Caenorhabditis elegans: one gene and its partners. The protein of the gene in region 1 purifies or fractionates together with the protein of each later gene. This does not show direct contact. Each region holds a gene or a part of one and is shown in the gene's direction. Other genes may lie near its edges. The genes, in order: F20D6.11, acox-3, Y69E1A.5 and lbp-1.

The links.
Region 2: the proteins of F20D6.11 (region 1) and acox-3 fractionate together in Caenorhabditis elegans (co-fractionation; one large-scale study listed by BioGRID). This does not show direct contact.
Region 3: the proteins of F20D6.11 (region 1) and Y69E1A.5 fractionate together in Caenorhabditis elegans (co-fractionation; one large-scale study listed by BioGRID). This does not show direct contact.
Region 4: the proteins of F20D6.11 (region 1) and lbp-1 fractionate together in Caenorhabditis elegans (co-fractionation; one large-scale study listed by BioGRID). This does not show direct contact.

Annotation. Positions count from the first base shown.
Region 1 is NC_003283.11:8,195,019-8,201,811, reverse strand, and holds F20D6.11 (Rieske domain-containing protein), read left to right. Parts: upstream 1-2,717; 5' UTR 2,718-2,727; coding exon 2,728-2,834; intron 2,835-2,914; coding exon 2,915-3,134; intron 3,135-3,257; coding exon 3,258-3,497; intron 3,498-3,539; coding exon 3,540-3,758; intron 3,759-3,807; coding exon 3,808-4,239; intron 4,240-4,287; coding exon 4,288-4,396; intron 4,397-4,444; coding exon 4,445-4,622; intron 4,623-4,667; coding exon 4,668-4,775; intron 4,776-4,823; coding exon 4,824-4,860; 3' UTR 4,861-5,038; downstream 5,039-6,793. Other genes in the region: cri-2 (Putative metalloproteinase inhibitor tag-225), read right to left, coding at 1-4; F20D6.10 (uncharacterized protein), read left to right, coding at 6,010-6,133, 6,779-6,793.
Region 2 is NC_003282.8:6,243,871-6,251,304, reverse strand, and holds acox-3 (Acyl-coenzyme A oxidase acox-3), read left to right. Parts: upstream 1-2,812; 5' UTR 2,813-2,825; coding exon 2,826-2,924; intron 2,925-2,968; coding exon 2,969-3,100; intron 3,101-3,146; coding exon 3,147-3,314; intron 3,315-3,474; coding exon 3,475-3,616; intron 3,617-3,668; coding exon 3,669-3,990; intron 3,991-4,151; exon of another isoform or gene 4,152-4,172; intron 4,173-4,301; exon of another isoform or gene 4,302-4,323; intron 4,324-4,467; coding exon 4,468-4,568; intron 4,569-4,615; coding exon 4,616-4,712; intron 4,713-4,760; coding exon 4,761-4,934; intron 4,935-5,036; coding exon 5,037-5,151; intron 5,152-5,201; coding exon 5,202-5,743; intron 5,744-5,794; coding exon 5,795-5,906; 3' UTR 5,907-5,947; downstream 5,948-7,434. UniProt on the Caenorhabditis elegans protein: Involved in the first step of peroxisomal beta-oxidation by catalyzing the desaturation of fatty acid-derived side chains of ascaroside pheromones, which regulates development and behavior.
Region 3 is NC_003282.8:10,955,142-10,960,209, reverse strand, and holds Y69E1A.5 (Phosphatidylethanolamine-binding protein), read left to right. Parts: upstream 1-2,554; 5' UTR 2,555-2,566; coding exon 2,567-2,647; intron 2,648-2,692; coding exon 2,693-2,918; intron 2,919-3,039; coding exon 3,040-3,251; 3' UTR 3,252-3,347; downstream 3,348-5,068. Other genes in the region: sri-19 (Serpentine Receptor, class H), read right to left, coding at 294-512, 963-1,133; Y69E1A.4 (Serine/threonine-protein phosphatase), read right to left, coding at 3,621-3,935, 3,980-4,184, 4,234-4,547, 4,620-4,913.
Region 4 is NC_003284.9:3,256,541-3,261,789, forward strand, and holds lbp-1 (Fatty acid-binding protein homolog 1), read left to right. Parts: upstream 1-2,601; 5' UTR 2,602-2,617; coding exon 2,618-2,929; intron 2,930-2,987; coding exon 2,988-3,101; intron 3,102-3,159; coding exon 3,160-3,213; 3' UTR 3,214-3,272; downstream 3,273-5,249. Other genes in the region: lbp-3 (Fatty acid-binding protein homolog 3), read left to right, coding at 866-1,004, 1,051-1,232, 1,279-1,392, 1,461-1,523; lbp-2 (Fatty acid-binding protein homolog 2), read left to right, coding at 4,262-4,579, 4,636-4,749, 4,796-4,849. UniProt on the Caenorhabditis elegans protein: May play a role in sequestering potentially toxic fatty acids and their peroxidation products, or it may be involved in the maintenance of the impermeable lipid layer of the eggshell.

The DNA of each region.
Region 1 (6,793 bases):
GCATCTGAAAATGGAATTAGTATAAATTCGAGGTGAAAAAAAATTGTGAAAATGAAAAAAATGAAACATGAAGAAAGCAGGAAAATTTTGGTAATAATATATTTTTTTACACAAAAATTGTTTTTGATGGCAAAATAACATTAACTTGCTCAAATAATTCATTTTTCTAGCCAAATAATTCATATCATAAACTTTAAAAATACAAGAATCTATAAATTTGGGCTCAAGTTTTTGTTTTTGAAACAAACAAAAAAAAAAGAAAATAGTTATTTTGTTGATAGTTCAACCCAAGACTGATCGTGAGATGACATTGGTTGAGCGAATTGAATCGGTCAAGAGTAGATATAGTACAGAGATCCGAGAGATATGAGACGATGAGAGACAGGAAGTGTAACAATAACATTAGTGTGACAAAAAAAAATGAAAGATGGTGAATAAGTGATGAATCATTATTATGACGTCTTGAAATATGATAAAGATAACTGAAAAGAGATTTTGATAGAAATTCCAAACTCACTATTTTACAGACATTTTTCTGGAAATAATAGTTTTGGAAACTGGAGTCTGAATACTTAATTTGCATGTACATAAGAAATAAGTTTTGATTGAATTAATATGTAGAAAAAAAAAGTTTGCGAAGGCACGGAAACTCCTTGGCCTGCATAAATTTCTGTTATAGCATCCCAGGCAAATTTAATGTTCACCTATTATAACCCAAGACTATTGTAGCTTCATCATGGCATCGAGACTAATAACAACTTCTTCACAATGCTGCAAAACATAAACCAAAGTTTGTGATTCACTATTGGACTTTTGGAATATTTGACTTTATAAAATAAAAAACGAGACACAAAAATATTGTTTCACAAACCATTCATCAAACTTCAAAAAAAAAAGTTTCAATCCGTAGAGACTCACTCAAACATTCACTTTCAATGACAATAGCCAACTGCCGTGCTAATAATTGAACAAACTGACAGTATACTTCATTTCACGCTTGTTTCAAGCGAATGTTCAGCTTGGCTTATAGCAGTTTTTTCAGAGACCCGAGCTTTTATAAAATTCCGGTGGACTCATAAAATATGGTCACAAAACCAAAAAACGAAAAGCATCATTCATCCATACCAAATGATTTATGTGGTAATCAAAGCTTAAAATGAAATTCTTATGATTTCTGATTCTTTGATTCTAAAGCTTGAAAAATGTGATTCTAAAGCTTGAAAACAAGCTTGAAATATAATTTTGTTTGCCATGAGATTTTTGGATAAAAGACGATTTTTTTGCAATTATCGTTCACAAAATTGTTCTTTACAACTATCCCGAATGAAACTACTGAAAATTAAACATTATATGATTATTGTGGAATATTATTTTGAACTAAATTATCAGCTTTGATTATTTGAAATTGAAATTCCGGCAAGGAAGTAATCGTACTTTTATAAAAATTTTCATAGCCCATAAGTTCACATTTTCCCGTCCAAAAACAATTGTCTCTATAAATATGTTCATTGAACCTCTTTTTCCTAAATTTCCGCATTTTCCCACTATTTCTCTCAATTCTCCCAATTATGTTGTTGTTTGTGAGTGTCACCATAGGCCGTTCTACGGAGAGTTTTGTTTGTATGTCTCGGTTCTCTTCATCTCTCGGTTTTCAAGAAAAGGGATTTTCCATTTTAACGTTTTTGCACTTTTTTTTAAAGCTAGTGATACCGATTTTTAAAAAAAACAATTAAGACGTATCATTTTCAAACTTAAAGGTTAAACTTTCAAACGACAAATTTTGATTTTTGAGCGTTTCGTTCCAATATGAAGGATCATGTTTCCTTCAACTGATCGTTTCGACGTTTTTTCTTCTCCAGTTTTTCTTGTTTACTTCGTTTAACCTTGATGATCTTCTAGTGGTTTATTGTCGAGATTTTCATTCAAAATTTACTAATTTCAATAAGATTTAAATCTAAAGTTTAGAGTCTTTGATGTATAAATTGGACATACTGAAAATTAAACGTTTTGGAAAATTTTCCGTAAGTACAGAAACATAGTTTCAAATAAAAAATTCGAAAACATTTCTAACCATTACGATTAATCAGAAAAAAAAAATAATTCAGAAAATAACGCTTCGTTTACAAAAACCTTCCACGCAAACAAATATTGTTTACCAAAAACTGATAACGTGGATGTTTTGAAATATGTTGTTGTTTTCCCACATCTTCGTTGATTTTTCTCTTTGAAGCTCTGGTATTTCAAGACTTAAAAGCATTTTTTGGCTTTCACCTTGACTTTCTTTTACCCTAGTTTAATAAGTATACAAGGTGTGAACTAAAAATTGTAACGATCACAAAGTTTCTTTTTCTCTGTGGTCAACTATCCTAGATACATGCCAGTGTCAGGCATTTGTCAGCATTTCCATTTGCCGCCTAGCAAATAGACCCAGCCTTTCGTGTGCTTCTCTTTTCCTTTTTCTTGTTCCTACAACTCAAAGTGCTCCAATTGGTCTCTGTAGCCCCATTTTTATATTTTTGTTATTTTTTGTACGAAGAATTTGCCCGAAACCTCTAGGACAAAGTTTGAAAACTGTACGTTTTTTCAATTAAACTTTCATCTATAGACTCTTATTGATAACAAAAATTGATGACTGATGACTACGTTTATTTATCATTCTTTTCCTTGATTTTCTGAAAAAAAAACGAATTTACACGTACATTTCTTTAATATTCCAGTATAATAACAATGGCTCTCGCCAATTGGCTAACCCCTGTTGAGCCGGAATGTGACAATGATGATTCTCCGGCAGTGGAGGAAATTCTCGGTAGAATCGAAGATGTACCGCCAGGAACGTAAGTAATTTCAACTTTTTAAAAACAGTTCTCTAAAGTTTTAAAAAGAAAATTTAAAAAATAACATTGTCTTTTTCCAGTAAGAAAATGTTCGAAGTTCGTGATCGTAAAGTTTTGGTGATTAACGACGAGGGTCGAATTTACGCTATTAATGGATTGTGTTCTCATTACAATTTCTCATTGGAGAATGGAACATATGCAAAAGGAAGAATTAGGTGCCCACTTCATGGAGCTTGCTTTAATGTTCGATCGGGAGATATTGAAGACTATCCAGGCTTTGACAGTCTTCATTCTTATGTGGTAAGTGGCACCCAAAAATTTATTGTTTTCGCATTTTTGGACAAATTCTTTTTTGAAAAGTTGGAGGTGACTGATTAAACTTTGTTGTCCTTTTTTTGTAATCAAACAATTATATTTTTCCAGGTTACTGTCAACGATGGAAACCTTATTATCAAGACAACTGAAAAGAAGCTAGGTTCTGATCGTCGAATTCGACATCTTCCAAAAATGAAGCAGTGTAATGATCGACCAGTTGTGATTATCGGTGGTGGTGTAGCTACAGCTACATTCATTGAGCATTCTCGACTTAATGGTCTTATAACCCCAATTTTAGTAATCTCAGAAGAGTCTTTGCCGCCTTATGATAGAGTCTTGCTGTCTAAGGTAATGTTAAATCTTTTTTTCTAAATTACCTATGATTTTCAGAAACCAGCAGCAACCGGAGAGGATATTCGTTTGAGAAAAGATGATGCGTTTTACGAAGAGAGAAATGTCAAATTTCTTTTGAAAACATCGGTGATTGCAGTAAATCATAAAAGTAGAGAAGTCAGTTTATCGAACGGAGAAACTGTTGTTTATTCAAAACTAATTATTGCTACTGGAGGAAATGTTAGAAAGTTGCAAGTACCCGGATCAGATTTGAAAGTGAGAGTAAAACGAAAATCTGAAAAATATAAACATGTGCAATTTCCAGAATATTTGCTACCTTCGTAAAGTAGAAGAAGCCAACATAATTTCCAACCTTCATCCTGGGAAGCACGTCGTCTGTGTAGGCTCATCATTTATCGGAATGGAAGTGGCATCCGCTCTGGCAGAAAAAGCTGCGTCAGTTACAGTTATTTCCAATACTCCGGAGCCTCTTCCAGTTTTTGGATCAGATATTGGTAAAGGAATCCGTCTGAAGTTTGAAGAAAAAGGAGTAAAGTTCGAGCTGGCTGCAAATGTGGTTGCTCTTCGTGGAAACGATCAAGGAGAAGTCTCAAAAGTTATTTTAGAGAATGGAAAAGAGCTTGATGTAGATCTTCTTGTTTGTGGAATTGGTGTTACCCCAGCCACTAAGTTTTTGGAAGGATCTGGTATCAAATTGGACAATAGAGGATTCATTGAAGTTGATGAAAAGTTTAGAGTGGGTTTAGTTTATTTTATGATGCTTTTTTAATCTCTAATACTTCAGACTAATATCAGCTACATCTTCGCAATGGGTGATGTTGTCACAGCTCCTCTCCCACTTTGGGATATTGACAGTATCAATATTCAACACTTCCAAACTGCTCAAGCACATGGTAAACCAGAAGATATTCAAATTTAACTATCGATGTTTAATATTTTAGGACAACATCTTGGATACACTATTGTTGGAAAACCTCAACCTGGACCTATTGTTCCATACTTTTGGACTCTGTTTTTCTTTGCGTTTGGTTTGAAGTTCTCAGGATGCAATCAAGGATCCACAAAGGAATACACTAATGGAGATCCTGAAACTGGAACTTTCATTCGATACTTCTTGAAGTAAGTGAACAATTATACATTTTTCATGTTAGTAAAAACTTTAAGAAAAGACAAAGTCGTAGCTGTAGCTGCTGGTGGTCCATCCAGTGTTGCCTCCCAGTTCGCTGAAATTTTCAAAAAAGGAATCGAAGTCACTCTGAAGGATTTGAAAAAGTTAGTTTTAATTTAAACATTAATGCAATTACCCAAATAAACTTGCAGCAGCAGCGATCACACTTGGGGACATCTTCTGCTATAGACGAGTGTAGGAATTCAGCAGTAAATAAATAAACTATTTGTTTGATTAAAAAAAATTTTTTTTGTGTTTTTTATGGAATGAACTAAAAACTGATTTATATGTATTCGCTGTTCCCAAAAATCCGATTTCTGAAAAAAAAAACCATTGGCTCTTCCTTTAATAAAAACTGAGAAATATTAGAAATATAACAATGCACCTGATTGTTTCACAAAAAACCACAGAACCAGTCAAAACTCTGAAAATGTATAAACTCAATTGAGATGCTCTTCTGTAGAGACTGATCTTCAGTAACCATAAAATGAACGTTTTCAACAAGGAAGTTCATAAAACGAGTGTAATTTTCACATGCAATAAATAACTACACTACAACTCTTTAGTTTGATTTGTGAAAATGCCAAAACTCACAAATCATGAGCAGTGTCACGTCTCAAATCCCAGACAGCAAACTGTGATAAGACTTGTAACTTAATCCACTCATTTGACTTGCATTTGACTCAACCCGGATACCAACCTTCTTACCCGGCTTATTCTCTCATTTCACTTCTTCATTTCTTGGCCCGGTGGTGATAAAACATTGGTTTTGATTGCGACGAGAGGCACTCACTCTTCCGTTTATCACTAACTCTTTGCTCATCCGGAGACCCTTGCTAATAGAGATAAACTTGTCGTTCTGTGTCTTGATATCATCCAACTCGTACCTTCTTCACCTTCTTTCTTTTTCATCTCTCTCACTCTTGGTCTATCACCTACATTTCACTCCACTGGATATACCGCCACCGTTTGTCACATGTGTCGACGAGTCCTCCTCTTTGTCATCGGGTCCGTGAGATATTAGAGAGTGTTTGATTGTGAGAGAGTATAGACAACGTAGCATTAGAGAAAACCTCCAGAGACTTGGCTCCACAGACCCTTTGCTCGATATCGATGTGATTATATGATAAAACTTTTTTGAACTTGATTATTATTTTTTGTTACACCTGTTACCTTGAATTTTCCAAAATCTTCTGAAATTTCAGATACCGTACTTCGTCTCGACCATAACTCAAATGTGACTAATTATTTCGGAAATTAAAACGCGTGTTTCAAACTTTCTGAAACTCTTCGAAATTGAATTTTTAATTTTGATTCTTGTCCACTGCATGAGTCAAAATGACGGAACGGCTCGGCTCCGTGAACCCCACTAAACCGATAAATGTAGCAGAAGCTGCCCAATTAGCTGTTCGACAGAAAAACTTTAACCGAACTTGTTGCAACATGTGTCACATCAAACTAGGTGAGTCATTTCTAAAAATGTTTGAAAAGAAGCCTTGACAAGTGGATATAACAAGTTGTCATTTCTGAAAGGATCAATAAGTTGAAAAAACCAAAAAGTCAACGAATGTTGATTGCTAAATGTTTGCTTAAATTCGAATGTTCCAATTAAGAAGGATATCGATTGACATAATCCAATAGTTTTCTTCAACCAGTTTCTTTCAAAATTAGATCTGTAAAAACTACAACTTTCAAATAATACTGAACGACCATAGTTTTTATTTTCACCAATTTTTGAATTCCTGAAATACGTTTACCTACAATAAAACTTGATATGCCTGAGACTCTTATATTTTATTCCTGAAGCCTTATGTTCTTTGAGCAGTTTCGTTTTTACCCAAAAAGTTTGTTCGATAGACTTTGCTGCAATAAACTTGAAAGTGATCAAAAAACGATGTAAAGTATGAAAGTACTACTAAGTATCTATTTATAAATTACTTCACATTCAATTTAAAGCAAAAGCACATTTGCACTAAGTTCACACTCAAACGAATCACAACCGCACGCCTGTCACATTGTCTGACCTAACTAATTGAACGTATCATCTGTTTCTTGCAATTGTTCGTTCTACTGTTACACACAAACATCATACTATCATTTCTTACAGGAGCAGCGTTTCTTG
Region 2 (7,434 bases), on another chromosome or scaffold:
TAATGAGGAAAACATGCCAAATACGAAGAATCTAATTATAATTAAACTATAGTGTCGACAATCGGATTTCTCATAAAATCAAGTGAGAAAATTTGGTCAAATTCTGCATATACTATGCAGTAAAGACCGCCGACGGGAACCTTTTCTCGGAAATTTAAACGAATGCTGACGTTTGTCTGTCGCACCAACTCAAATAGTGAAGTGTCCTGAGCAACGGGACTCAATTCAAAACCAAAAATCGTATATCCGCCTTCTTTAAACATTTGGGTGCTAATAGAATTACATGTGGAATTGCTTCGCGAGTGACCGAGGGTTTCTTGAAGTTGAATGTATGCCTCCATAAACTTGTTTCTGTCAAAATCTAAGGCAAAAGGGCGGCCGGGGAGTGTCATTCCACAATAATCAACATGTATATCAGATATACCATGTGGTTTGAAATTGAATGGTGATTTATCATAAGAGCCATTGTACGCGTCAGAATCAACAAGACCAATGAAAATTCGACGGGGCATCTTGCTTGTGAAGAGTGTGTTAGCCGGCGCGTCAAGACGTCCAGACTCTATATAGAAACTGCGCACCTGTGAAGATATTAGAGGATATTGGATTATTTTGTGCTCAATAATGGAGCTCTCTAGAGCATTAGATAGACCGTCGGCAAGATCGAATTCGTTAACCAGAGCGTAAACGTCGGTTATTTTGAACTGAAACTCTGTGTTGTTGTCGCGATTGTAAACCTCAATCAAAAATTTACTATCATTTGGGTAAACTGTAAGTTTCACATTACAACCGTTCAAGAGCACTCGCGGCTGATTCATCAAGTCAATCGAAATGTTTGCCGCAACTTGTATTTCGTCCTGGTTGTAAATTGAGGCACAACGCTGTTGAAACCCAGGACTACGGTGGTCGCCAATCACAGGGTCATGATAGAAACCGGCCGCGGTTAGAGTGGAGTTTTGAATTTCCTTCCCGTACATTAAAACGTGTTCAAAATAGCTCTTGTACGCATAGTTTGACGAGTTGTGAAAAGCTAATTGTGAATTAATGTGTAGTGTGAAATTTCAGATCGACTAGTTTTCCGGTCACAACTCGGATCCCCGTTTTCAATGCACAACTTTACGATCCACACATTTCAACGTTTTATACACTAATTAATGCCAGAAACTTATTCGCAACATTGGCACACATGAAGCAATAATTAATAGGCACACACGGTTTTCAGTGAAATTCCTCAATTATTCTAAAACGGGGGACCAACCGAGAAATTTGCAAAAATGCGCAACTTTAAGTCTTTTGCACAACTATTCCCACTATACTACTAACTTACTCTAATTGCTTGATGTTTAAGCAATAAAATAACAGAAAAATAACATAGTATGATATATTGCATAAAAGAAGATAGGACCGCCACCAAGCAGTCGAAGAAGGCAGAATGAGTGATTTCTTCTTCAGAAAATGGGCGGGTTTGTGGCTTCTCTGACTCTCTCAAAAGCTCAGAATGTGTGACGTTAGAGCTAGAGATTATTGAAATGTAGGAGGTTTTGAGAGATTAGCAAAAAAGGAAAAAAGGATTAGAAATGTTTTCAAGCTCTTCTTTATGCCAAGATCATGAAACGAAAGACTTGTTTGAGAAGAGGGAAATAAGATTATGAAATTATGAAAAAAGATGGAAAATAAATAGTTTTAATTGTATTTCAATCATGCTTCAATTGGCCAACTCTTGTGTTCAAATTTAAATTAAACAAAAAAATTATTATGCTGTTTCACGAATACTATATGAACAGAGGCATTTTCTCTGTTTTGATATTGAAACTTCAGCTGAAAAAAAGATCTCGTAAAAACAGTCTTGATCATGAATTAAACTAATCTCTTCTTGTTAATGTTAGTAATGATAGAAAAATATTGCCTGAACTTTGTGGTTCCACTTATTTTAACTTATAAAATAGTGAAACGCATCTAGTAATTCGAAGAAAAAGCAAACTCTCTATTGAGGTTTTCAACAAAATCACAAAGTTGGCAATCACATTTTTTTCCAAATTCCACAAAATTGATGAGTAGGTTTTATCGGACACCTAATATAATTGCTCAAGTCAGAGCAAACCTATTATTATTATCAGTAATTTCAAGTTTTGGTAGTTCAGCCAAAATTGATTTCGGGAAAACTATGAAACCGCTAAAAATGTTTACATCAAAGTCTAAACTGCAAAAATGTTGGAAAATATTGTAAAAGTATGAAATATTGAAGTTAAAGTGCTAATAATTTTTAATTTAATTTTAATTTAATTTAATTTTTATTTTGACCAGTACGCTCCTGGAAATGTGTTACCCCCACTTTCGCCAAAACTGTATTTAGAAATTTTTTAGCGTATTTTTATTTAAAAACATGTTTTACACTTATGGAAATAATACTAAATTTTTTATTATCCACTACGTTGTTTTAAACTATTTACTTGTCCACATTCTCTCTCCGAGCCCACTTTAAAACAAGGAAACATGAATTTTCTGTAAAATTTCAGTTAATTTCCTCTGACCCTTTTTACAAACACCAGCTAATTACAATCTACTACGATAATTTTAAAAGACCATTCCTCCCCCTATTTATACAATACCACCACGCTGTAGTCAGACTGTCTTCGATCTCTGCGTCTCTCAATTACTTTCTATTTTCTTTGTTTTTGATAAGACTACACTCTTCCTACCCAGTACATATGCAATTGCTTTTGTCTTAATTTTGTTCAGTTTATTTTAACATATATTCTGCTGAAAATAAAATGAATCTTTTGAATTTAAAGGATTTATTTAGTAAATTTTTCAGTTTCAGATCAAAAATGAGTGCTCCTTTAATTGACAAATACCGGAAAATGGCAACTTTCGACTGGAAAAAATTGAAAGCAGCCGTTGAAGGAGAAGAACATGTTAGACTGAAGGTATAGTAGATTTTGGATTTATAAAATATTTATATATATTTCAGTCAGAAGTAGTTGCTAAAATGAAGTCAGAACCAGTATTTCACAGAGATTATCGAGTATTGAGTAGAGAAGAGCAAAGAGAAGTTGTTCATCAGAGATGGAAGAAAATTGTCGAATGGGGGTTGTTCAAAGATGTATTTCTTATTAAATTGTAGATTTTCAATATATTCGAATATTCAGCCGTACTCCGATCTTGAAAACTTCCATGCATTGACTGAAACTCTTGAAGCTTATGATCAAGGCACATCTGCAAGGCTTTTCCTCCACGGAAATGTTTTTGGAGCAGCTGTTAAGTCAATGGGAACAGATAGACATAAGGATTTGATTCAGAAAACTGAAAACAATGAGGTGAATTTCAAAGAAAATAGCATACAAAATTAAGAAGTACTCAAGAAAAAGAAAAATCAAAACAAATTTGAAAATAATTTATTCTAAAGAAATTTAAACAAAAGCGCATTGTATTCAAATCTGGAAAGTTTAGGTTTCCTTGCAAAATAGCAAATTTCAGATCGTCGGAGCATTTTGTCTGACAGAAGTAGGCCATGGTTCAAACACTGCTGAAATTCAAACAACAGCTACATTTGACAATGGAGAACTTGTTTTCAATACTCCAAGTGTCAGTGCAATCAAATGTTGGGCTGGAAATCTCGGTGGGTTTTAAAACATTTTTAATTTTAAATTTAAAAAAATCCATTTTTTTAGCTCACTCGGCCACTCACGTAGTTGTTTATGCTCAACTTCATGTCGAAGGAAAGAACGAGGGATTTCATGGATTTGTGATTCAAGTTCGTTGCCCTAGAACTTTCCAAACTCTACCAGGAATTACCATTGGAGACATGGGCTCGAAACCAGGATGCTGGCAGGGAGTAGAAAATGGCTGGATGGAGTTTAAGAACCATAGAGCTCCTCTGAGTGCACTTTTGAATAAGGGTTGTGATATTACTCCGGATGGAAAATATGTGACAAGTTTCAAATCTGCAAGTGAGAAGCAGAGTGTCAGTTTGGGAACATTGTCAGTTGGAAGGTATGTTTTCAATACTTTACGACGCCGGCCGTATAGAAAAATTTTTTAATTGAGTGAAATTTGTATCTAAAAGAATTTCTGTTAAAAAAATCAGGTTCTGAAGAATTTCTAGCCGCTGTTTTACCAACTTTTTAAATGTGTTGTTTTTTTCTCAGTTTTAGTAGATACAAGATGCAAATTTCACGGCCGAGCCTTATTATCAATAAAAGCAAAATCTCAAAACGAATCTATTCCAGCTTTAATCGATACTTTTAAAATATGAATTGATTTTCTAGAGTGAAGCCATTGTATTTAATACAAATAGAAATAATGGAAATGGCATTCTTAGGACAATTCGAAATTGTAAAAGCAGACGAATTCATAAAGTTGGGAAAACAGTGCAATCTATAAGTTTTTCCGATTGATTTTTTTCAAACAAAATACTGTTTCAAAATTCAAACTTTACCAACAATGGTTTCACAATAACACAAATTTCAGACTCGGAATTATCGCAAAAGGAATGATGGCTTGCACTTTTGCATCTACAATTGCTATTCGATACAGTGTTGCTCGGCGACAGTTTGGACCAGTAAAAGGCGGTGAGCACCATTCCTTTTCTCAATTTCTCAACTTTTGTATAATTCAGCTGAAAATGAGATCCCAGTTCTCGAGTATCCACTTCAACAGTATCGTCTATTCCCGTACCTATCCGCTGCAATTTGCATTAGAATATTCCAGAAGAAGTGGGAACTCTAAACAAATTGTTTTCAATAATTAGTTAAACTTTATAGGTTTGTCGGACATTTCACTGAATATATGATGAGAGTCATAATGGGAGAAAAGTCAGACGAGCTCTCCGAGTTCTCAAAAGAAGTACATGCATTGTCGTCTGGAGCTAAACCGGTTGCAACGTGGCTTGGTGTAGAATCCCTTGGAGAAGCTAGAAAAGCTTGTGGAGGTCATGGGTATGTTTCCTAACATAACCTGAAACTTAACTTTAAGAAACTCATTTTTTGAGAATTCGTCTTTCTATTTTTTCCAGATTAAAGTTAAAATTTAAATTACAGATACCTACAAATGTCACGATTGAACACCCTCCGAGATGACAACGATCCATCACAAACATTTGAAGGAGAAAACTTTATGATTTTGCAACAAACCAGCAATATTTTGCTAGGAAAAGTAAACTTAATTGTCAGATTCTTTAATCATATTGAGATTCTGATGTTCAGGCTCAATCAATTGGATCCATTGAGACCCCGATGTCTACTATGTCATTCTTGAATCAAAAACCTTCAAAGTTCTCATCATGGTCTTCGAATCCAGTTAATGACGTGTTGTCTGCGTACCGATATCTCACTTATCACTTACTTCAAACAACTTCGGCAGAAGCTTACAGACTAAAAGCATCTGGAAAGAATTCATTCGAAGTTCGAAATGAAATTCAAATTCATAGAGCTGTCAATTTGTCTGTTGCATACACAGAACATACAATGATCCATTGGGTTCAACAGTTCTTGAAAGAAATTGAAGATCAAAGTGTGAAGCCGGTTCTTCAAAAAGTTTTGAATCTTTTCTCACTTTTCCTTTTGGAAAGACATCTTGCAACTCTTTATATTACTGGATATGCTTCTGGTGGAAAGTTTGGAGAAGATCTTCGAGAGAAGCTTAGACTCGCTGTAGCCGAATTAAAACCCGAGGCCATTGCTTTAGTGGACTCGATTGCTCCAGATGATTTCATTTTACATTCAGCTCTGGGAGCATCTGATGGAAAGTCAGTTTTAAAATGTAAAGGTTTCTGCTGAACTTTAAATTTGATTTTCAGAGCGTACGAGCATATAATGGAAGAATTCCGGAAGTATACAAATGAACAACCAAGATGGGTTTGCGATTTGGCTCAGTTTTTGCAAAAGAGATCACAAGGATCCAAGCTATAATATTTCACAAACTGTATATTTCCCAATAAATCCAGTTTTTGAATAAATTCAAAATATACAAACAATTTCAAATTTCTTTGAAAGCTAAAATTTTTGCAAAAAATAAAAATCTAAACGTATAAGCAAAGTTTTCAGATTTATACATATCGTCGACGTGAAACGGCAAAATTTTTTAAATGTTTAATTGAAAAAATTTATTAAAACTTTGGTACCCGGATGTCAGGAAATGCTTAAAAGGCTTCTAACACTGGAAAATAGTTTCTCATTTAGAACCAAAACGATAATGTTGCGTTAGTTTAAATGAATTTATATGATTAATGTGAAACGGGGAAAATTTAAAATAGTGATAGCGCCCACGGGGAAAATGTTTAAAACTATTTATTAAGTGCCAAAAATCATTGTAGAACTTTCACAATGTATTTATAAAATAATATTTATATGAAATAACACCAAAATTTAATTTATTTCCACGCCAATTTCTAATTTTACTTTAAAAACTGTTCTCACAATATTATTGTATCAATGTTGTCGCGAAGTCGATGAATACAAAGATTAACTCGCTCACGACTTTTATTTTTAATTTCTATTCTCCACGTGATAAAGAATCCATTTCACATATCTGGAGAATTTATAAATTTATCAACTCTCATTAATTTGCTAATTGGCTTGAAAGGGTTGTGCATCAAAAAGGTCTTCCGTTTGAAATTCTTCGCACGATGACAAATAATTTCAAAAATACAATTTTCAAAACTTAAAGTTTTTCAGAACTCGTCCGTCTGATTCTCCAATGTCAACTTTGTATTGCGTGCGAATAACTTCAGGAAACTCTACAAAGGCTCAGAAAGGCTGTAAAAGCTCGAACACAACTGAAGCTCCGTATACCAATGTTGCGTGATTTCAAAAAAGTGTTATACCATCAATGGGAAACGGTAAAAAGTTTTTTTTAATTTGTAGGTGCAAAATGCTTTGAAAATTTTTTGTTTCGAGATTTTAAAAATAGAATAACACAAATTTTTATCAAATTTCAAACAATAATCATTTGATACCATCCGTTAATATAATCTCCATTGTAATCATATTTCCAGTATAAAGAACCCATTTCACATGTGAAACTGATTGAAAGTTTTTCTAACCCTGATTCAATTGATGTCATTGCTCTACACGGACAAGTTGTTGTAGATTCAGTATTATTTCCTGTACAATTACAACCAGCACTTTCTGATAAACATCTTCGCGTTCTAATCCACATTGTATCGCCATCATTTCTTCCGTAACTGGAAAAAGAGCTCCAAATTCCTCCAATTGGACAACAATTATATGTTGAGTTAGAAACAGATGCAGCAGTTTCAGCGGCTGTTGTTAGTGGTCCACATTGAGTTGTTCCGTTCAGAACCATTGAGACATATGGAATACAACAAGTACGTTGAGCTGGATATGAACATGGTTATGTGTTGCACGGATAGTAGCGAGTTGCATTTCCACTGAAAAGAAATATTCTGATGTACATAAATAATGGTAGGAAAGTTTT
Region 3 (5,068 bases), on another chromosome or scaffold:
CAACTGTGGTCCCCGTTTGAATGAAACATTTTCAGACAAAGATTTTCAATTCTTTTTGCTTTAATTTTCCGAGAGCTGCTTCCGGTATCATTTACTCAGCTACGATTTCTTGTTTCCTCTTACAGGTCGAGAAATTTTTAGCGCTATTCTCTTTTAATTTTTATTTCCAGCCACAATTTTCAACAAATATGTGATCTAGGTGTTCGAAAAATCTTTCAAGTTTGGCATAATTATATCTCGTGTGTTTTTAAAAGTCTGGTTGAAAGTGATTGTTTGCAACTTCTAAACGTTACCTTTCCAATATTTGAAACAACATGATATTTGGTAACAATTGCACAGACAATTGAAGCAACTTGAAGATACAATAACAAGAGAAACATTGCCATTTGAATATGTGAAGATAGTCTGAACACCTGCCACAAAAGTCCATTTGTATATCCACCAATTATTGGAAGTATGTAGACTGGCTGCATTAGCAGTGTTGTCTGAGCGTCAGCCAATAGAGACAGAATCTTAAAATTGGATCTTTATTTTAATTTCTGAGACTTCAACAGGTGAAATCTGCAAAACGACTTTTGTTACTCACTCAATGCACTATATTTGTGACTGATGTTCCAGTTTATTGACCTTTTTTCATAATTATTTTTCTGATTCTTTTTGAATAAAAAAAATAAGTTTGATTCCACTGGTAATCGAATTTTTCAAATGCTGTTTATAGAAAATTCATAACTTTGCTTCTTTTTGCACTTCATGCATTATTCTATAATAGTTTGGTGAAAACTAGCGGAAATTTTGCAAGCGGAAATTTAATGTTATGAACTTTAATAGAAAGGTTCTACAAATTTCAAATTGACTTCCACTGCAAAATTTGTTTCAGCTGCACTCAAACCAATAAACTAACGGTTTCTTCCATACTGCATGTGAACTTTTTTCGTGATTTTTAACACTGAAAATTAATTTACCTGCATATTAATCATAAATCCTTTATACATTTTAACTATCTTGGGATTTTTCATGATTAGAAATATTCCCAAAATGTTGAAAACCAATGCAAATGTACCATGAATTGAATAGAAAGTTAATAGGAAAGTTGGTTTAGTAACATCAATGGTCACTTCAGAATATGTATACATTTGACTTTTGAAAATCAGCTCAAGAGATTTGAATGATTGATTAATCAAAAATGGAAAAGAAATTAGAAGAAAGAAGTTAGAGAATTTGAAACAAATTAGGAGTGTGATTTGAGCAAAAGAGTCAGAAAGAAATGACTATAAGGGCGTAACTGATTAAAATAAGCTAGTTATCCGTCCAAATTCACCTGTCGTAGTCTTGGCATATCTTCTGGAAAGCTGAAATAGAAAGGTGTCAAGTGGTTAAACAACGTTTCGAATCAATTGTTTTAGGAAGAGAGTACTGTACTTTCATAAATATATTCAGGAGTATATGTGTCTGAACTTCTGAACTGTATAGATTGTCGAAATTTTCAATTTATCAGTAATTATTTGGTTGACAATTTAGCTCAAAAAATGAAAAAATTCACAAAATAGTATCTTTAGCTAAAGGTGTATGCTGGTTGAATGGCAACTCTGTATTTCATTTTACTATTGAAGATTCTACTTAAAATTACAAAGTCCAATAGAAAAAAAATTTAGTAATTTTTTTTACCTAATTCAGTACAGTCGTGAAATTTAGCAGTTCAAAACTTTCTCATTTTCATATTTTATCAGAACATTCGAAAACCACATTCAATCTCTGATGAGTAGGCATCCGGTGGAAAGATCGTTCAAATGAAGAGATTTAGAGTCAGATGGGGGCGGTCAACTGTTGTTGTGCTTTTCGTATGGGTTAAAGATGAAGAACAAGAAAGATATGAAAGTGTAATCTGAGTTCTTCCCGCCTTTTTGCTGTAATAAGTAGTACATCACAGTCAGTAGAATGACTCTCATAACTGCCAGATGAACCGACGTCGTAATTATTTTTTTAGTTTCTGGGCTAAGCATTCAATAGTTCAGTTTTACCGAGGTGAATGGGGTTTTCCAATAAAATGCTTCGTTTTTCATGGAACCTAATGTTTTAATTTCTTCCCTATTGGTCCTGCGCTCATTGCTCTCTGTTAACAACTTGTATGGGTAGAAGGTAAACATAATGGTAGGTAGGCATTCGGTTAGCAGAAAGGTTTGAGTACTGTCTTCCAACCTATTTTTTTTCAAATGGAACCAATCGTTTATTGTTTTGGGTTTTTTCCTTTTGTTGTTGTATTTCTCTTTTTGTATGTTCCATTACTTTTCACCTCTGATTCACCAGCTTGCATTGTACATCTTGCTCTTATTTCCATCGCTTACCATCCATCACCCCTTCCTCCCCCATTACATTGTGCTCAATGCTCTTTCTCTTAGTTCCCACGTCACATCTCCAGTTTCTTTATCTTCTTTTCTCTCTGTTCCATGTTGTTGTCTGCTCATAAACCGCCTTGAAACACCTGTTATTTTTCGTTATTTTCTTGTTTTCTTCAGTCTTCTCATTTGATAACCTCATTTTGAAAATCGTCTTCCAGAACACATAAAAAATGTCCGACATTTCTGCCGCTTTTGCTCAACACGAGATTACTCCAAAGATTATTGAAAATGCCCCAAAGCAGAAGCTTCATGTAAGTTTTTTTTAAAAGTTAATTGCTACAACATTGAAAATTCAGTTGTGCTGGGACGGAATCCAAGTTGAGCCAGGAATGACTATGCAAGTTCGCAACCTTAAAAATGCTCCGAGATGGGCTCTTCCAGGAGCTGACCCAGAATCAATCTACACAGTTCTTATGATTGATCCAGATAACTTGTCAAGAAAGAATCCATCTGTTGCCGAGTGGCTTCACTGGCTTGTCTGCAATATTCCAGCCAGCAATATTATTGATGGAATTAACGGAGGTAATAACTATAATAAAACGCGAGAATACTTATAATTCACCTGGCTTCTGTTCTCAAATTGTTGATGGTGATAATAATAGGACACACTTATACCTACGATCACGAAATGTATGTTTTCCAGGTCAACATCAAATGGCATATGGAAGCCCAGCTCCAGGACCAAGAACTGATCTTCATCGTTATGTGATTCTTATGTGGGAGCACGCTGGAAGACGCATCTCTGTGCCGAAGCCTAGCTCTCGTGCCAAGTTCAACGTTAAACAATTCATCGAGAAGAACAAGTTGGGAGACCCAATTGCCGGAAATTTCTTCCTTGCTCAACACGAGGGATAAATATTGTAATTTAATGTGTAATTATAATTGGATAACAACGAAATAGCCATTTTCTAATTTGAAATTATTTCTATGTAATAAAATTTAATTTTTGTGGTTATTGAAAATTCACTCCATGCTCAATCGAGGGAAATAATATAATAATAATATAATATCGAAAGTTGGCTAATAACTTCTTCGGAACAATTATGACAGGAATAAGTCCAGGTGGTTAAAATGTAACAGAATGTAAAGAAAAAGTTACTTGAGCAAAGCTAAAGATCGAACTCATTCGAAGTTTGATGAATCTATTGTTTTCATGATATGTATACGTTGTAGTAATTTCAATTTCTTTATTTCTACGAATAAAAAGTCTAAACGAGTTCAGGATCATTTCTTGGCCTTTCTCTCCTTTTCAAATCCACGTTTCTTGTCTCTGCTCTCCGGCCTGAAGACATTGATCGAAATCTTCAGTTTCTTATCAATACTAAAAACAGCCGCTGTGTTGTCATTCTGTCCACAGTAGTTTGGAGCCGAAAAAATTGTGACCAGACGTCGACCATCGAAGAATTCATAGCCATCTTCAACAACTTGATGACCACGGATAACCATTTGAAGATCCAGTTTTTTCAGAAATGCACGGAGAGCTGGTGGTCCGAAGACAAAAGATGCACCACGTGCGGATGGTTTATAGCCTTTTTCAGTCTGAAAAGATATTTATTATTTTAAAATTCTGAATGAACGCATACCGGATCAGGATCAGCCCATGTCAAATCAGTTAGAACACCAACATCAGGAATCTCGAGTGGTCTTTTGAAAACCGAAAACTGATTGAAACTTGTCAGATGCTCACTGATTCCTCCATGCATACACATAATCGTATTGTTAATCACAGCACAGAATGGGAAAACGTTGAACATGTTCTGGAAGCATTCGTACAATTGAGCATCATAACTGAAAAATGTTAATGTATTCTCAAAGATGTCATAATTTTAAAACGAACCGATAATTGACCTCTCGATAGAATCCATACGAAGTGTTAACTGATCTTGATTCATGATTCCCTCTCAGTAAATAAATACGATCGGGATATGCAAGTTTGAGAGCAGTGAGTAGAATGACAACTTCCATTGAAAATGGTCCACGATCGACATAATCTCCAAGGAATAGGTATCTCTTGTATCCAGTTGTTACCTCTTTGTTCACACTTTTCGGAGCAGCAACTGGTGGTTTTACATCGTTACTTGATTCTGGCTGTGTCGAATGTGGTTCACTCTGAGGTCTTTTTCCTGTTTCACGACTTCTTACTGTTGTATCCTAAATAAATATTATTTTAATACTGGAAACTAGATTTATTTAATGCATATTCAATTGTAAAAAGTGTCTCACCTTGAGAGCCTCAAATTCTTGTGAAGACAAGGGCCACCCATTCATATCGAGCATTGCGAGTAAATCATCAAACTGTCCATGAATATCCCCCATAACACAAATCGGCGCCTCCAGCTTCAAGAATATTGGCTCAGACCAAATGAGCTCACGGGCTCTGTGGCAGAGCTCTGCAAGCTCGGCAGCACAGAACAGATCCATCGAAGTTTTGTGAGTCCATTTGAATACAATCTTCTCCAATATTTTATTGACAAAATTTCGAACATTTTTTTGATCTTCAGTATTGATCTTCTCCATTGAAATTATGAAGACCGATTGCAAATTGAGAAAATGTAGAAATGATTACTTTTTCTTCAAATCTTTTGATGTTTTTTTCATGGAAATTCTTTTTTCTAAATTCTAAATAGAACAAATGACGTAAGACAACAATTACCCTTTCAAATAATAAACTT
Region 4 (5,249 bases), on another chromosome or scaffold:
AACAGTGAAAAAAATTCGAATTTTAGTAATTTTTTGAAAATGTTCTAAACCGGTCCTTTTACGAAAATTGTATTGTTCAGCGACTTTCGGTTTTTCCAGGTGTCTAATCGTTCCTTTTCTATTCGTTTTATTTATACGTTTCAGCACCACATTTCCGTATTCTTCCATTTTTTCAAAGACAAATTTGCAGGAATACCCTTGGTTTTTGTAATCTTTTAGAAATACATTTAGCTTTTGGAATGCGGATTTTTTTCTTCATATTATCGTTTCCCCCGTTCCACAGTTTTCTGTTTGATCAGCTTTCTCCAGCCTCAGTTTTCAATTTTTATTTCTAACCTCTAACCGTCATAAATCAATTGTATGTAGTTGCTACTTCTGTGTGCTAACCAAATGTATTATCAGTTTTCTCCGACCGTTCTGCGCGGAGTCATATTATGCAAGTGATGATGGTGCAGAACAACACTGATAACAACTGTCCGACCACTACTTCATCTTATCATTTCTTACGCATCCCGTTTTGTCAGTTCTATTTGAATATATTAGTTGTAATAGCAGAGTGTTTTCCTTTTATTTTAGTTGTTTTTTCTTATTCTCCAGTTGTGTTAATTGTTTTTTTTCTAACTTTTTTCCAATCTTTCCAAATTCCAATGTAATATATTTTGTGCATTTTGTGTGCTCCAGAGTACACTCAAAGCATAGGGCTATGAGGCAGATGCTCACAATTTCGGATCTCAATGATACCGAGCCATTGGGCCTATGTAATAAATCAAGTGAAGAAGAAGAATATAGATAGATCTAACCCCCAAGATAAAATCATTGTCCATCTGCTCTTGCGACCAATCGATTCTTCATACATTTACTCGTCATGAATCTGTACTTAACTTTATTCTCCTTTTGCTTTTTAGCAATTATGGCTGAGGCGGCTTCTGAAATTCCAGAGAAGTTTTTTGGAAAGTATGATCTCGACAGAAGTGAGAACTTTGACGAGTTCCTGGCTGCTAAAGGTAAAAATAATTGATAGTGTACATTTAATAGTAATTTTAATTACAGGAGTGAGCTGGTTTGTGAGACAAATGATCAAATTGGCAAAAGTGAGCAAGGTGCTGGCCAAAAATGAAACTCCTGGAAAATACAACATGGAAAACTTGACTTCAAAGAAGAATACACTCTACCACGGGTGGGAGCTCGGGAAAACTTTCGAGGCAGAAGGCCTTGATGGAGTTGCACACAAGGTTTCAAAAAATATTCAAGTGTCTTAAAAATATTGTTATATTTAAGATTACCTTCTCCTTCAAAGACGGAGTTTTGTCTGAGCACCATATCCGACTCAACGACCCAGAACACAGCGCGGAGACGTACTACTACACTATCGAGAACGATCAACTTGTCATGGTGTGTACTTCGTTCTCTTTTCCTTTTTTCCATTTTACAACTTCTTCCACTAATTTTCTCATTTTTAGAAAATGGTCAACAATGGAATCACGTGCCGTCGTTGGTTCAAGCGATCGACCGGAAAGAAGTAGAAATTATAAACACAACATAAAACTGAGCTCTTCACATTATTAATCACAGATGTTTATTTTTTCTGTCCTTTTAAATAAACAATTGTCCCTTTAGACTTGCTCTGCCATTTTCAAAAATTGCATGATCTCACAAAAAAAAACGAATGAACAGATGGAGGTCAAACATCGAAAGTGGACATAGAACAGATTAGCCAAGGTACAAAGTAGATGGGTCTATTGTAGCCCAATAAAACGTGAGAATCGTATTGGCCAATTTACGGGAAAGGCCATCTGGAAAACAATGATCTCTAATATGAATTCTGTCATCTGGGAATAGGGCTCAAACATTTGAAAACCAGAAAAAAAAACAATTTTGTGTCTTAAAAATTTTAGCTAGTGTTGAAAGTTTAAAAATATTTTTGAAAAATTGTGTTTTATGGGATCCTTACAATATTTTTTCGTTTTCATTTTGAAACCAAAAAAACCCAAAACCGAATGTACCGAAATTCTGCGGCAAAAAAACTTTTTTTCTGAAGTCGTTTTCTTTTTCTGTGGGTCGAATTCTATATGAATAAAAATTTTCATAATTTTTTCCGGTAGTTTTTTTTGGTTTTCCAAAGTCCCAGCCCTGCATGGATTGTGTTTTGAACTGCAGACCTGAAGACCTGTTGCCGTATTCAATGTTTGCTGAAGAAATGGAGAATCATACTATAGACTATGAAAGATAATGATAACATAAAATTATATCAACCAAATAAGGAAATTGCAATTCGATTCGCCTTAAACCTTCAACGAAATTATTTTGAGTTGATTGTTCGGTCTTCCAGGACCCGATTCATGCAACTACTCTCTTCAAAAATATCCGAACTGACCCCAACACACGGAACAAAAAAAATCTGCCCCGAATCATTTATGCTACACTCTCTTTCGATACCCATCCGAGTCCAGCCGTCCATCTCTGCTAATCGTCAGCGCAATCGACATGTGGGCTGCACTTCTTGCCGTACAATGTTGTTTACGACTGTGCAAGTAGGCGGGGTCCACGCAGACGACGTCGACACACAGCCCACAGTCCTGCCAAGACGTCAGTCGTTCATTCATCGACCTAGCCAACCATGTGCGCTAAAATCGCTCTTCTCCTGGTTCTTGTTGGAGCTGCTTCAGCTGCTGTTCTCCCTGATAAGTTCTATGGAACTTTTGACTTGGACCATTCCGAAAATTTTGATGAGTATCTCACTGCTAAAGGATACGGATGGTTCACTCGTAAACTTGTCACTTTTGCCACATTCAAAAAGGTGTTCACTAAGACTTCCAACAAGAACCTCTTTGACTACTCCAACTTGACATCAAAGAAAGACGTCCATTACAAGAATGTCCAACTTGGAAAAGCCTTCCAGGGAGAAGGACTTGACAGCACCAAACACGAGGTACGCTTTTGCAAGTTTTCAAGTAACCTTTCAAATTGATTAATTAATTAATTTTCAGATCACTTTCACCCTCAAGGACGGACATTTGTTTGAGCATCACAAGCCACTCGAGGGAGGAGACGCCAAGGAAGAGACCTACGAGTACCTTTTCGATAAGGAATTCCTTCTTGTGGTAAGTTATAAACATTTTTTAAAAACCAATTTCACATTCTCATGATTGTAATTTTCAGCGCATGAGTTTCAATGGAGTTGAGGGACGCCGATTCTACAAACGACTCCCATAAATATTCAGAAACTATTGTAATTTTTGTATGAATTGATTTCTCAATGTACTTTTTTTGCCACTGATGTATTTCAAGTTTCAAATAAACTGAAAAGTTAGATCGATTCTGTAATGTGATATGGGGCAAAAAATAAGAAAAATAACGCGGTTCTTTTGTGATTCATGCTGCATAGCCCTCTGAAGTTTTTTGTTTGGGAAATGTTTTCACTGGTTTAAAAATGTACATATTAGGAGTTCTAGAAAGCAAAGTTGATTAAAATTTGAATTTTTGTTAACGTGTAAAAGTGACACAAGTGTTAAAAAGAAAATTTTGCACATTGAAGACTTGAAATTAAGAATCAAATTATCAGATGAATTGAACCTATGCTGGAATCAAAACATGAAAGTTCGATTGCGCCGTGATATTTGCAAAAACGTAATTCAAAACACAAAAAGGACACAACCAGTTTAAAATTTCGGGTGGGTCAAAATCCAATCACTTTTCGGTTTTTTTTTTTCGATGTTGTGTTCGAAAGTTTTCTATAAAATGGAGTTTTTTCTACTCTTTCGTATGCTCTTTTTTATTTTTTTTTTCCTGATTTTCACATTTAATTTCTGAATAAGGTACCATTAAATAAGAACCATTTCTCAAAATACATAGTTTAATAACTAAAATCATTGGATCTTGAGGACCTCATTAAAAATATTTTTTTAAGTCTTAAATTGTTTGATGTGCAGTCAAAAAACGTAGCAGTTTTCTTTTCAATTTTCTTAACGCGTTTAAATTTATTTCGACAAAATTCATTCTGCATTTCAACAAGTAATCGATGAATTGTTTTCGTTCGGTCTCTTAAATTTTGTTTATTATTAGCTTCCAGGTGTTGTGAGGATTTTTGAAAATCAAGTAAGTCCGATCATCAATTTGTTGTTGCCATCCGTGCCGTGACCCTATATTACACACGTGGCTGACCTCAGTTTTATTGTGTTGTCGATTGAGCAACTGGGCGGAGTCTTGATCAATCTTCATTTCTGTGGACACTTCAGTCATTCAGTCATTGACTTGAACAAAAATGTCTTCGAAATTCCTCATCTTACTCGCATTTTGTGGAGCTACCCTTGTGGCTGCCGAACAGCTTCCAGAAAAGTTCTATGGAACCTTCGACTTGGATCACTCTGAAAATTTTGATGAGTACCTCACTGCCAAAGGATACGGATGGTTCACTCGAAAGCTTGTAACCTTTGCGACATTCAAGAAGGTTTTTGCCAAGAATGCTAACAAAAACCTCTTCGACTACTCCAACTTGACATCGAAAAAAGATGTGTTCTACAAAAACGTCCAGATCGGAAGCAAGTTCGAAGGAGAGGGTCTTGATAACACCAAGCACGAGGTGAGTTCCATGCCATGTACTTTTTATTTTATTTTTATTTCAATTATAATTTTCAGGTTACCTTCACTCTCAAGGACGGACACTTGTTCGAACATCACAAGCCACTTGAAGAGGGAGAATCCAAGGAAGAAACCTATGAGTATTACTTTGATGGAGATTTTCTTATTCAGGTAAAATTTGGTCAATCTATTTGACATACATTTTTGTTAATTACAGAAGATGAGCTTCAACAATATCGAAGGCCGCAGATTCTACAAGAGACTCCCATAAAAGTTTAAACTTATTCTATTGAAATTTTCTTAAATTTGCAATTCAATTTCATTTCCGAAAAAAATAAATTTATTTTCAAGCAATCTTCTGATGTTTTCAATTTGGAATCTTGGTGGAATGTATTATCCCAATTATTAGTTTTTAATTTTCTACAGATTAAAAAATGAACATGTTGAGGTAAGAAACTTAACACTAGAGTATGATCTCGCTGCCAAATTCTGCAACAACCATTATTTAAACTACAGTTGTCGTTTTCTTTATGTGATTTCATCTAAACGTTGAGTAGCACCAGTGGGAAATTGGCAAAAAACTACGCCTATGGTGCCAAAAGGACCAAATATCAATAATTTTGGAAAATTGTTCATTTACTGTTGAAAAGTGACTCCGTTATTGCCACTCA